3 linked regions of the Oryzias latipes genome follow. The protein of the gene in region 3 interacts with the protein of the main gene of each other region in a biochemical or structural test. Links are inferred from orthologs where the notes say so. Each region holds a gene or a part of one and is shown on either strand. Other genes may lie near its edges.

The links.
Region 1: the proteins of Na(+)/H(+) exchange regulatory cofactor NHE-RF1 (region 3) and ezrin form a complex in vitro, tested with the Homo sapiens proteins (2 studies listed by BioGRID and IntAct). The link is inferred for Oryzias latipes from reciprocal best matches to the Homo sapiens genes NHERF1 and EZR.
Region 2: the proteins of Na(+)/H(+) exchange regulatory cofactor NHE-RF1 (region 3) and cftr form a complex in vitro, tested with the Homo sapiens proteins (9 studies listed by BioGRID and IntAct, with this or other methods). The link is inferred for Oryzias latipes from reciprocal best matches to the Homo sapiens genes NHERF1 and CFTR.

Annotation. Positions count from the first base shown.
Region 1 is NC_019882.2:6,193,200-6,196,851, reverse strand, and holds part of ezrin, read left to right. Parts: intron 1-398; coding exon 399-494; intron 495-1,742; coding exon 1,743-2,017; intron 2,018-3,652. UniProt on the Homo sapiens protein: Probably involved in connections of major cytoskeletal structures to the plasma membrane. In epithelial cells, required for the formation of microvilli and membrane ruffles on the apical pole. Along with PLEKHG6, required for normal macropinocytosis.
Region 2 is NC_019864.2:3,306,220-3,310,655, forward strand, and holds the start of cftr (cystic fibrosis transmembrane conductance regulator), read left to right. Parts: upstream 1-1,532; 5' UTR 1,533-1,748; coding exon 1,749-1,801; intron 1,802-2,459; coding exon 2,460-2,570; intron 2,571-4,436. UniProt on the Homo sapiens protein: Epithelial ion channel that plays an important role in the regulation of epithelial ion and water transport and fluid homeostasis. Mediates the transport of chloride ions across the cell membrane.
Region 3 is NC_019877.2:24,309,080-24,312,731, reverse strand, and holds part of Na(+)/H(+) exchange regulatory cofactor NHE-RF1, read left to right. Parts: intron 1-1,089; coding exon 1,090-1,243; intron 1,244-1,321; coding exon 1,322-1,365; intron 1,366-3,652. UniProt on the Homo sapiens protein: Scaffold protein that connects plasma membrane proteins with members of the ezrin/moesin/radixin family and thereby helps to link them to the actin cytoskeleton and to regulate their surface expression. Necessary for recycling of internalized ADRB2.

The sequences.
Region 1 (3,652 bases), on a different chromosome or scaffold from region 3:
CTTTCACCGCGTCTTCCTGCAGTCTGGATGCCAGTCATGCAAGAACTCCCTCATTATACATTATCACCCCCCGCCTTCACTTCTGAAACAATAGACTCACATTGTCGGAGCCTTTTGGAGCTGCTGCAGCTGTAAGCAAAGACATAAAAAGATTTGAAATATAGGATGTTTTTCCCTTGTTAGGTAAATAAAGCTGCCAGTGGAACCAGTAGAATTTGTCTTGGTGAGATGTCTTCAAATAGGTTGTGATGTCCTGCCCTTTTTAAGAGTAGATGAAGTCCTAAAAGACTATTCAAACATGTAGTTATTGGGTTAGATAAGCCAATTCCTCTCTAAAAGTTTCATACTGCGCCACATAATTTAATAAGAAGTGCACACTTTTCTTTTTCACTTTGCAGGTGGTGAAAACTGTTGGTTTAAGGGAAATCTGGTACTTTGGGCTGCAGTACGTGGACACCAAAGGATACAGCACCTGGCTAAAGCTGGAGAAAAAAGTAAGAAACCTTTTAACGTCATGATCAGGAAGAATAAGTCGGCATTAGTTTGTAAAATACCTCCCAATGTTTCAGAAGTTTATTAGGTGCAACATTATGAATGTTTACTCTTTAAACGTTGGTGCATATTTCCTGCTCATTTCATGAATGCGCATACAGAGTTCATGTTTGTCCTCAGAAAACCGAGAGTGATAAAGACTGTCTCGATTTCAAGGAACTCCTTAATCAGAGATCTTATTTGACTTGAAGTCGATGAGTAGCTACAGCATTGGTGTGCGTCTATTTTATTTTATTTTTTTGCATTTCCAGTATAGCAGCTGGTTTAAAGGACTCATATTATGAGCTGATGGCAGAACTTGTTGAACCCCTGCTTGATTCTCCTAAATTATGCAAATATTTTAGCAATTGAAACAACGAGTGTGAAGGTAGGGACACTGGGCATGTGACACGCATTCTTTAGTCCATGCTGTTAGTCCATGGTATTCACGGTGGACGCACAGGGAGGGCCTTTTTCTTCTTCTGTTCTACTGTTTACTAGTGCTTTTCTGCCGCCTACAGTTGGAAAAGCTCAATACGAAAACTCAAATCTCACAAATCATGCTCCTGACTTTTTCTTTCACAGCTCTATTCCGACATATGAAAGAAATTCCCTCCTTTTTATGTGGAGCCCAAAAACTGTCTTAGAAACTTGCGTAGCTACGTGTGAACAGGAGGGTTTTCAGCACGGAATCCAGAAACACGTTTATTCGCACTAGCATAGACATATCTTTGGAAGTAGCTGCTTGATGGGTGTTGCCGAGGGCGATGTGAGCTTGGCTTTATGCTTGGCGCGCTAAGATTGTGTGCCGATATGGTGTTGCTCATAAGCTCATACTTGACCCAAAATATTCCTAATTGACCTAAATTCAAAATGCCTGGTTCTGTATTCTAACTGGAATCTGTTAAAATAGTTAATTGTTCTAAAGTTGATCATAATTATTTTAAATATTTCCAAATATGCGTCTCTTTTTCTCAAGGTCTCAGTATCGTGTGTTTACATGAGCATAAGTAACCAGGCTATTGGCTTTCTGTTATGTAAACTGAAGACCTGGTTTCTGTAAACCAGGTCTTCAGGATTAGCAAACCTGGGTAGATTTCTCTCAGGGAAATTAGCTTTGAAGATGAAAGGAAAAATGCATGCATGATGATATGGTTTCTAACTTCCACCTGTAAGCCGATTTCTCTAATACTGTAATACATTCTTTACAGGTGACGGCACAAGAAATTAAAAAGGAGAACCCGCTTCAGTTTAGGTTTCTTGCAAAGTTCTTCCCAGAGGATGTTGCCGAGGAGCTGATCCAGGACATCACGCAGAAGCTCTTCTTCATGCAGGTGAAGGAGACCATCCTCTCCGATGAGGTCTACTGTCCCCCAGAGACAGCCGTGCTGCTGGCGTCCTACTCCGTTCAGGCCAGGTTCGGAGACTACGACAAAAGTATCCATCAGACTGGATATCTTCTGTCAGAACGCCTGCTGCCTCAGAGGTAGGAGGGGTTGGCGAGCTTCCAACCAGAAATTGACTTTGATAAGCTTGTTTAGTTTAAGAATTTGAGATGAAATACTTTCTTTGTGAGTTTTTATGTTTTTTTTTTTAGGCTCAAATGAATTCTAGGTGGCTTAATATAAATTGGATTTTTTGGCTTTTTGACAATTCGTATGAAAATCCTGATTGGATGAAAATTATTGGCATCAAAACATGAGTAAAATCAAAGTTTGTTTCCAGGGATATTAACAGCACATCGATCATGTTATGATGATTTCACCCTTGTGCTATCTTAGATGACCCCACCCTTACATTGACATGTTATTCCTACCATGACAAAGGTGAATAAAGGTGGAAAGATTTCATGTAATCCATGGACACCAAATCATTTAAGAAAAAAAGGTTCAGCCCACTGTCTAGTGCGGGGGTGTCAAACTCATTTTCACTGAGGGCCACATCAGCATAGTGGTTGTCCTCAAAGGGCCAGATATAACTGAAAAATAAATGTAACTACTCCTTGATGTTAAATAACTCATCATTTATTTATTATCACTTTTTAAAGTGACAGTTCCAGTTGCATAGAAAACATATGTTTGCTTGTTACTCTAGCATAAATCCTTTTACATTTGATTCTGTCAAGTTAGGTTAGATTGACAGTGTGTAAGTTCTAATGTATAATTCCCCAATCTGATGTTTCAAGTTTAATTCCCCCCAGATATGAATAAATACACACTAATTTTTATTTTTTATCTTAAGAAATTAAAAACTTTTATGGTCTTGCGGGCCACATAAAATGACATGGAGGGCCAGATTTGGCTCCCGGGCCTTGAGTTTGACACATGTGGTCTAGTGGGTCTAGATGACCCAACTCCCAAGGTAAAAGTGCCTAGGATAGCACAAGGGTTAAATAACAGTCTGTGCAATTTTCAGGATTTTAGCTAAATGCCTTTAAGGTGATTGTTCTTTGGATCAAAGTTTAAGAATTATTTATGCATAATTAAGCAAACCATTGAGACACTTCAATCAATGCTGCTTTCAATTTGTTTAACAAAAATAAAGGAACCTTCAGTCATAAAAAACCTTTCCAAGCTTGTGTGAGGATGTTTTAGTACTTTAGATTTAGGGACTTGTGAGATTATTTTTGGGAATTTCCAGGCTGTCTAGTTAGGACTATTTGGTCATGGAGCAAAATAAAAGTCTGTGGTGGTCCAAAACCATTTGGAAAAACCCGCTACTGAATGCTATTAAGAGGCAAAGGAGATTAAAGGTTTGAAAGCTAATTACATTAAATAAGATGAAATAATTGGCAATAACCTTAATTTTCAGTCATTTAATTGCTTCATTTGCTTAATTTAAAATATTTTTAAGCGGATTTACACCAAACTCCTGATTAGTTTAATGTAAACATCCAAAAAAGCTTAAAGGGATAAGGTGTAGCCAGCACCTTCTGTTCTAGAGGTTAATGCTAAACCTCCTCAAAAGACCACTGGAGGCTGGTTCCAAAAAGGAGCAACTTCCCATTAAAAAAAAAAGACAGAGAAAGAAAAAAGGGCTGAATTTACTAAAAGGTTGTGCGAAATCTCTTATTTTGAGGTTCAACTTTCTGAACTTTATTGAAGTGGGCGGAGCTCTGGTC
Region 2 (4,436 bases), on a different chromosome or scaffold from region 3:
ATGGCGTCTGTCAGGTCTAGCCGAAAAGCTTTGTGTTGCCTTTTTACTACTAGAGGGAGTTTTTGTGATGCCAATGAAGGTTGTAAAGTTTCATTTAAACACTGACTGAAAATGAAAGGAATGCTGGACTCCTTTAGGTTTTAGACATAGACCTGATCAGTCCAGATCTACCCCAAAACACACACACATCTAACTCCAGATTGAGATGTCGGTTTAGTACCTCCTTTGTTTTGAAGTAACACAGAAACCAAATCCTCTCCAGTATGTCTAGTATTTTGTATAATATATTTTCTTTGAATCAGTATTAGCGTTTCTGTGTGATGCAGAAAGCTACAGTTGTGATTTCTGGATTGTTCTCTGGCTCTGATGCTGCAGAGGAAACGCCGTCCTCCATGCACTCCAGGCTCAGAAAAGATCTGCAACAACTTGCTTTTGACACTGGATCTCTGTTCCTCTGAGGAATGTTTTGAGGTTTTAGTCCTCCCTCCCCTGAAACTGTGTGCAACCTTAAACTGATAACATGTTTCACTTTATCAGTACGTTTAGATGTGCCGGAACTGTTTCTGCTATTTTGTGATTCACTGAAAGGCAGCTGAGCAGAGTAAAACCAGGAGTGGACAGTGAGAGGCAACTCAAGAGAGTCTCTGAGAGACTTGAACTACTGACTCAGAGGGGTCTCACTCCCAACATGTCACGTTCTCAAATGCGTGCAAAGATGTGGACTTTAGGAGGCGATTGTCATTCACTGACCGGTTTGACTCAGCAAAGATTCTCACTCTCTCTGTCAGATTTCTGCTCCCTGCTTTTATTTTGAAGGGAAGCAGTCCTTCAAATGTCCAGACCAGATTTCAAACTTTAAATTGTAATGAAGCTTGTTTACAAAAACTACCAAGTACTAACATTTTTTTGCTGTATGGTCTTGGATGTGGAAAGACTGAAGGAGACCCTGAACATCTCCAGTGACTCTGCTGTCTGTTGTCCAGTGTTTTTATGGTGGTTTTGTCTCCACTAAAACCCCCCACCAAACTCACACACACACACACCCACACACACACCCACACACACACACACACACACACACACACACACCCACACACACACACACACACACACACACACACACACACACACACATTCTGGTTATCATCTTGTATTCCTTTTCAGTGGCTGCTTCAGGGACAATACTGATGATTTCAAATATACATGTTTTAAATGACTGTTAGACTGAAATGAGCTTATAGTATATTTCCTAAAGTTCTGACTTGACAATTGATGTTTTTTTCTTGAAAGATTTACCCTGGATTTATATATATAATACAAAATAAGGGTTTTAAATATGTAAATTCAAAAGTTAAACTTAAAAGTGAGGAAAATAATCTTTGGTCGTGAGTTTTTGTCTTGATCTTGTCATTTGTGTGGAGCTGTTGCCTTTAAAGCCACATGAGAGACAATGAAGGACCTCCGGATGCTTTGAGAAAGTGGGATGGACGTTTTGTCCTCTATATCTCTCTGTCACTCTGGCTAAACGACAGGCAGGGCGAGCCAACAGGAGGCTGACCTGCAGGGAGAGCGCACGTTCGCGCTGAGAAGAGGAGACAGCCGTGCGTTTTTGCGCACGTTTTTAGCGCAGACAAACAGTGAAAGATCTAGGAGGAGAGGTGTCTGTCGGACCAGTGCCGTGCCGTGAACAGATGTGAGCGTTGAGCAGAGACCCTCAGGTGCGGAGAACGCAAACTGGCGCAGTTAGGATGCAGAAATCACCGGTGGAAGATGCCAACTTTGTCTCCAGATTCCTGTTTTGGTGAGACATGTTTAGTCAGTATGTGTGTCTGTGTGAGCGCGCGCCCGCCAGTGCTTTGGGTTGTGTGAGGATGGCATGATGCGCATTTTGCTGCTGATATAAGGGAGCGTTGGCGATCATTTGGAGACAAGAGAATCCAGACTAACTTTAGCTTAAAAAGTTTAACCTATGCTCTGTGTTTTGAACCGTCAGCAGACTCTCTGGTTCAGTCATGTGATTTATTACTGCAATACAGGTGGATCTGAGAGTGAAATGCGCACGTTATTAAAGAAATTCCCCACATGTAATTTTACACTCCTTTTTTTAAAAGCAGACTCAGGCATCGGCGATTCATTATTAATATAATGTAAAATGTGTTTAAATGTGCTCCTTCAGACCTGAGACACTCGCTGCTTTGACGCGTTGAGCCCCCTAACCCCCTAACTGAGGGGTTCGTGCGCTCTTCTTGCGCCCCCAGAGTGCACGGAGCACAAGGAGCATTTTCGAAGCTTCTCGACCAAAACCCTCTCACACTTCGTGTCTGGAAGTTTTATTTTTCCTTGTCAAGTTATCCTTTCACAACATTAGGAATCATTCGAATCCTAACGGAGACCTCGAAGTCCCAGAGTTCCGAAAGCGCGTGTGTGAGCTGCCCGTCTAATGTGTGGCTTTTGTACAGGTGGATCACTCCACTGCTGAGGAGGGGCCTCAACAAAAAGTTGGAGCTGACAGATGTGTACAAGGCTCCATCGTTTGATCTGGCAGACACGCTGTCAGAGAGACTTGAAAGGTTTGTAAGCAGAGAGGTCGTTGGTTGGCCCAGGATGACTTAACTCTGCTCATGGAAATCTACTTCTAGAGTTAGAAGTCATCTTATTGCAAAGTCAACACTAAAATCTCCATGATTATAAATAATCTAAGATGGGTTGTTTTGGATCAAACTCTGACACTTTGGCTTTAGTTATTTTAACGCAGTTAAAAAAAATCGCAGATGAAGAACTAATAGATTTTGCTCAAATAAAACCAATACAACACAAAAGTAACCTTAAAAATATATCTCAACATGAATAACCCAAAGATTTGGGTAGAAGAAATAACCCAAGTGTTTTAAGAGTGTGTTAATACATTCAATTTAGTTTCATTTATATAGGCCAAAATTACATCACAGTTGTCTCAACGGGCTTCACTAATTGTACAAAAAATTTAAAAAGTTATAAAATACAACAGCTGATGGCTAAACTAAACTAAACAGACTAAACTGAATTGTGTTGATGTGTATTCATTAAAAGATTAATGAATTTTGTTGTTACATGAACATTACAGTCTGTTTATGTGGCACATAATTCAGCATTCTGGCTGCTTTGGCAATGTTTTCGATTCAGACATGATGTATTTCTTCCATCTTTTTATAAATTATATTAATTTACAATTTTCTAAATACCTCTGTATAAATCAAATTTAGATTAGGGGATTGAGTCTTACTATCAATCAAGAGCAGAAAGTAGATCAGTGAAGTTGTTTCCTGACAGGACAAGTTCAAATTCCTGTTTAAGTCAGGGTCATCAGAGCTTACAGTATGGAGGCATCCTTTGAGTCCCACTTCCATCATCTTCTGATTTTTAAATGTTCCCAGTGCAATTTTAATCATGATTATGCTGTTTTTAGCCAAAATAATGTAAACAAGTTTCGCTTTCTAGGACATATTTTCTGCAGAGCAGCAGAAGTTAATTAGAAATTCGCCTCTGAGTTGTGGGCGGCACCGTTGGCGTGGAGCAACCACAATCCCCTCCCCGTTGCAGGGCAAAGCAGGGAGCTTATGGCCCACCCAACATATTTTCTACATCACATAGAAGCTCTTTTTCAAACAGCTTTTTTTTGTCGGCTCCTGATTTACAAAGATTTGAATAAAAAATAATCAGAAATGCAATTCTGAACCAAAATTTTCTTTATCTATTTTAAAGTCCCACTTTCTGTCACACACCTAGGTGTGTGACATTTGTTCTCCGCATTTGACCCATCCCCTGGGGGAGCGTTGAGCTGCAGACGAGCCGCGCTCGGGAGGCAGCAGCATTAAGGGTCTTGCCCAAGGGCCCTCACTGGGTGATGTTGTTGATAGCTCGCCATTGATATGGTAATTGCCCCCAGTACCATTGTTTATTCCCCTCCGGGAATTGAACCCTGGATTCCTACCTTACCAACTGAGCTACCCAGCCGCTAGCCATGTCCTCCATCATGAGAAAAATGTTAAAAACACCAAAGAAAAAACCATTTTCTTCAGAGTTGGTGTATAATAGTCAGTGAAGGACTTGATGAAATCCAAAAGTTTAATAGAGAGAAACCAGATTTTCTACAAGTTTGAATCCTGAGTTTCACCAACTTTACCTCCAGATAAAACAGACGTTGATTTCCATCTTCACTACAACTTCTACTTTTAGTCAGAAGGAGGATTTTGGACCACAGAGTCCGGTCCTTCTTCTCTTCAGTGTAGGGAGAACACTTTATTCAAAATCTTCCACAGGAAGTGCAGTCAACTCGTCTTTCCCCATCTTTCGTCTGCCGCTCCGACTTTGGTTTTCATCCTTGTGACCCACCGACCCACATTTCTGTGGTATAGTAGCTTTGCTCAGGACTTCTATTGTCCTGGATGCTTGTGAAC
Region 3 (3,652 bases):
GCGTGTCACGTGCACACCCCGTGCGTGCAGCATTTGTGCACGCTCAGCAAGGAGCCAGTGCTGATGGCTGGAGCATCAGGGCTCCGTGCGACAGCCTCATCCGTCTGTCATAAGTGCGTGCAACTTACATTATCCTCACCATATATATTTACCACACGCACGACAATGGTACGTTCCATCTTCAGGTGGCCGTACGAGCCTCATGGGAACTGCAAGACACACCTGCGCTCCCTTCAAGATGTAGCGGCTCCTCTCTGTGACCCTGAACAGACCCGAACAACCCAAAAAGAGAACGGCAGCAGGCCTGCATGGGTGTGTGACTGAGGCCTAAAGCAGAGAGATGGAATTATTATTATTGTTGTTTTAGGAAACAAAGCCTGATTATTGCAAAAGTCTCCTCTCTGATTCCATCTGCATCCTATGAATTACTGATTGGGGTCGCGGCCTCAGGACCCCCCCCCCCCCCACGCCCTGGTTCAAAGTTCAGGTGAAGGAACAAGCCCGTGTCAGCCCGTGTGCACGTTTGTGCGGTGCTCTCATGACTCAGCTGTGTTAAAACATGTCACACGTTATCAGCACAGCAGCCTCCTCTTGCTGGAAAAATTACTGGATCATTTTCTGATAATGGTTCCTTTTTTAGGGTTTGTTCATTCATCTGCTCTTAATCATTTATGGTGAGCGGGTTAAACATTACGGGGAGCTGTCCCAGGCGTGACACCGTGGTGCTGTCGCAGCACTGCCGCTGTGATGAAGGTGGTAATCTGGTTCCACCGGAGTTTACAGGTTTACTACTGGATCTGTGGGGCTTAAGGGAAAACCTCTTTTATTGGGACTTGCTGCAGATCCTGAGTTGTTGGTTTGAACTTCCAAACAGGGTTCAAGTGAGGAGAATCCAAACCTGTGCAGCGGTTTAACTCCCACTTCTCCGCCTGCTGTGTTTCTGTGCAATGACTGAATGATTATATATTTTTTTTGGTTCAAACTCTTCTAAAATGGTAGAAAAGAATGATTTCTTTAGATAAAACAGCTTTTTCAGATTCCCCTAGTCCTCTTTTATTTGACAGAGTTTAACCGCTGCTCCGTCTGCAGGTGAACGGCGTGCCGGTGGCGGGGATGCAGCACTCCGAGGTGGTGGCCGCCATCAAAGCCGGAGGAGACGAGACCCGGCTGCTGGTGGTCGACGCGGAAACAGAAGAGTTCTTCAAGAAGTGCAACGTCACGCCCACCGAGGAGCACGTCACGGGTGAGCAGAAGATCTGAGAAAAGACCTCGGCGACGGGGAGACTCGACTCAAGCCGCCATGTTTCCTCTTCTCCTGCAGGAGCGCTTCCGGAAGCAGAGTCCAGGAGAGAATCAGAGGAGGAGGTGAATACACGCACGCACACACGCACACACAAATGCGCACTTGTGCCTAAAGCGCGTGAATGAACAAAAACGTGTGCAAACGCACACACACACCAACACACACACAGGCATAAAAACACTTGTGCAAAAATACGTTCATAAACAAATACGTGAAAAACTCATGTCCACATGCACAAACACACACAAGTACACACATGCACAAACACAGGCATGAACAAACGCCCTTAAATACATGCTCCTGCAAAAACATGCATGCACAAAGAGACGTGAACAGAGAAGCAGGATGCTGATTGTTTGAACTATAACTTTACTAAGCCAAACTAAACTGACGTTTAGCTGCTTTAAATCTGCTTTTTGACTTTGAATCTGTTGCTGCATTCATTAGCAGTTTTGCAGCTTTCAGAAAAGATGAGTTTGTCAAGCCCTGCAGAAGGGGGAGGGGCTTAGACGGGAGGCTGGAGTCATTAGGAAAAACTGATCTGATTGCAAAAATGAGACTTTAATACGACTTTTACCACCGTGTCATCTCAGTTTGTAGCAAACACAAAAGCATTGCATGCTTTGAGTGCTGCCCTCTAGTGCCAACAGAGCGCCAAAGCAAGTGCCTGTTTGCTGAACGCTTTAAGCTCTCTCGGGCTGTCTGGACATGAGACATGTTGGAAACGTGATGTCCACAGATGAATGTTCACCTCAGCTGCATTTTGAAGGCAGTTCTTGGATCTCCTCCTTTCACTGAAAGACGTCTCCTCCTGCACCAAATGTGAGCAATGCTCCTCTGAAGGGGAACCTGCACAAAGGCTGAGGGGCAAACAAGCAGCCAGTGAACTGTCAGCTGACCCCTCACCATAGAAACCCCCACACACACACACACACACACACACACACACACACACACACACACACACACACACACACACACACACACACACACACACACACACACACACACACACACACACACACACACACACTCTTTCAGAGCAGTGTGTCCTGGAGGATGATGCGATTGCTGCAGCTTTGATTCAGGGATTATGTTAATGAGCTGCTAATGAAGGCCGTTCTCATACTTTCACATGCAGGCGGGGTCACTGAACCACAGTGGCAGAGCGGCCCCCACTCCTGCGGGGGTTTCATGATTGTCTTTGTTTGACTGTCCCAGTGGACCTTCAGCGGAGCAGCTTGTCCATGAGGACAGCACAGGTCTGTGGGGGCCTCCGGGGTCAGACTAGAGTCCACGCTGCTTTGAGGGGGCTGATTAGAGCAGGATCTGCTGCCCCCTGCTGGACTTCACCAGCATTCCCAACGTTCTTAGTCAAATGGGGGCTCGGTCACCGCTGTGGGAACTTCAGGAAACTCCAGGGAGCTCCAGTTTTAGGGACTGCGATCCTTCCACCAATAAAACCTATTTAAGGTTGTTTTTGACCAAAACATCTTCTTCAGAGTTCTCCTAAAACTCCTTTAACCCTTGTGCTGTCTTGTAGGGTCAAGATGACCCCACTCCCAGCGTTAACATGCCTCCACATTAACATTGGGAGTTGGGTCATCTAGACCCACTAGACAGTGCTCTGAACCTTTTTTCTTCAATGATTTGTGAACCTCACTGGTGTCCATGGATTACATGAAATCTTTCCACCTTTATCCACCTTTGTCATGGTAGGGAGAACACCTCAATGGAAGGGGGGGGGTCATCTGGACCCCACAAGACGGGCCAAAAGTGCATATTTTAACCCTATATAACCATTCTTTTTGTATTTGCTCCACACACATTTTCCTTTACAATGATGATATTGTTTTTAAAAGTTTCTGGTCATTTAGATTCTACCATTTATATGATTGATAGATTTTCCTAATTGATTCAAAAGGAAATTCTATCGTTCTGCAGGTCAGAGCATCACCAACACAACTACACAAAATAAAAAGGACAACACTTTAACTCCTGCCTTTTTAATCTGTAGAAACATTTAATTTCAACTAAAAACATGTTTTCTTCAATACTATTTCAATACTTTATTCATGTATTTTATTGGAAAATAGTTCAAGGTCAGTCTAATCATATTCTTGATCATATTTGTAAAGTCAGACTCTCCAGTTTTTACTTCGCTCTGTCGTCAAAAAGCCACATGTGAGTCTCCCCCAGCTGCAGGAGCCTTTAGACCAGGGGGGGGGTCCAACTCATTTTCACTGGGGGCCACATCAGCATAGCGGCTGTCCTCAAAGGGCCAGATATAACTTATACATGTAACTAAATGTAATGCATCTACTCCATAATGTTAAATAACTCATTATT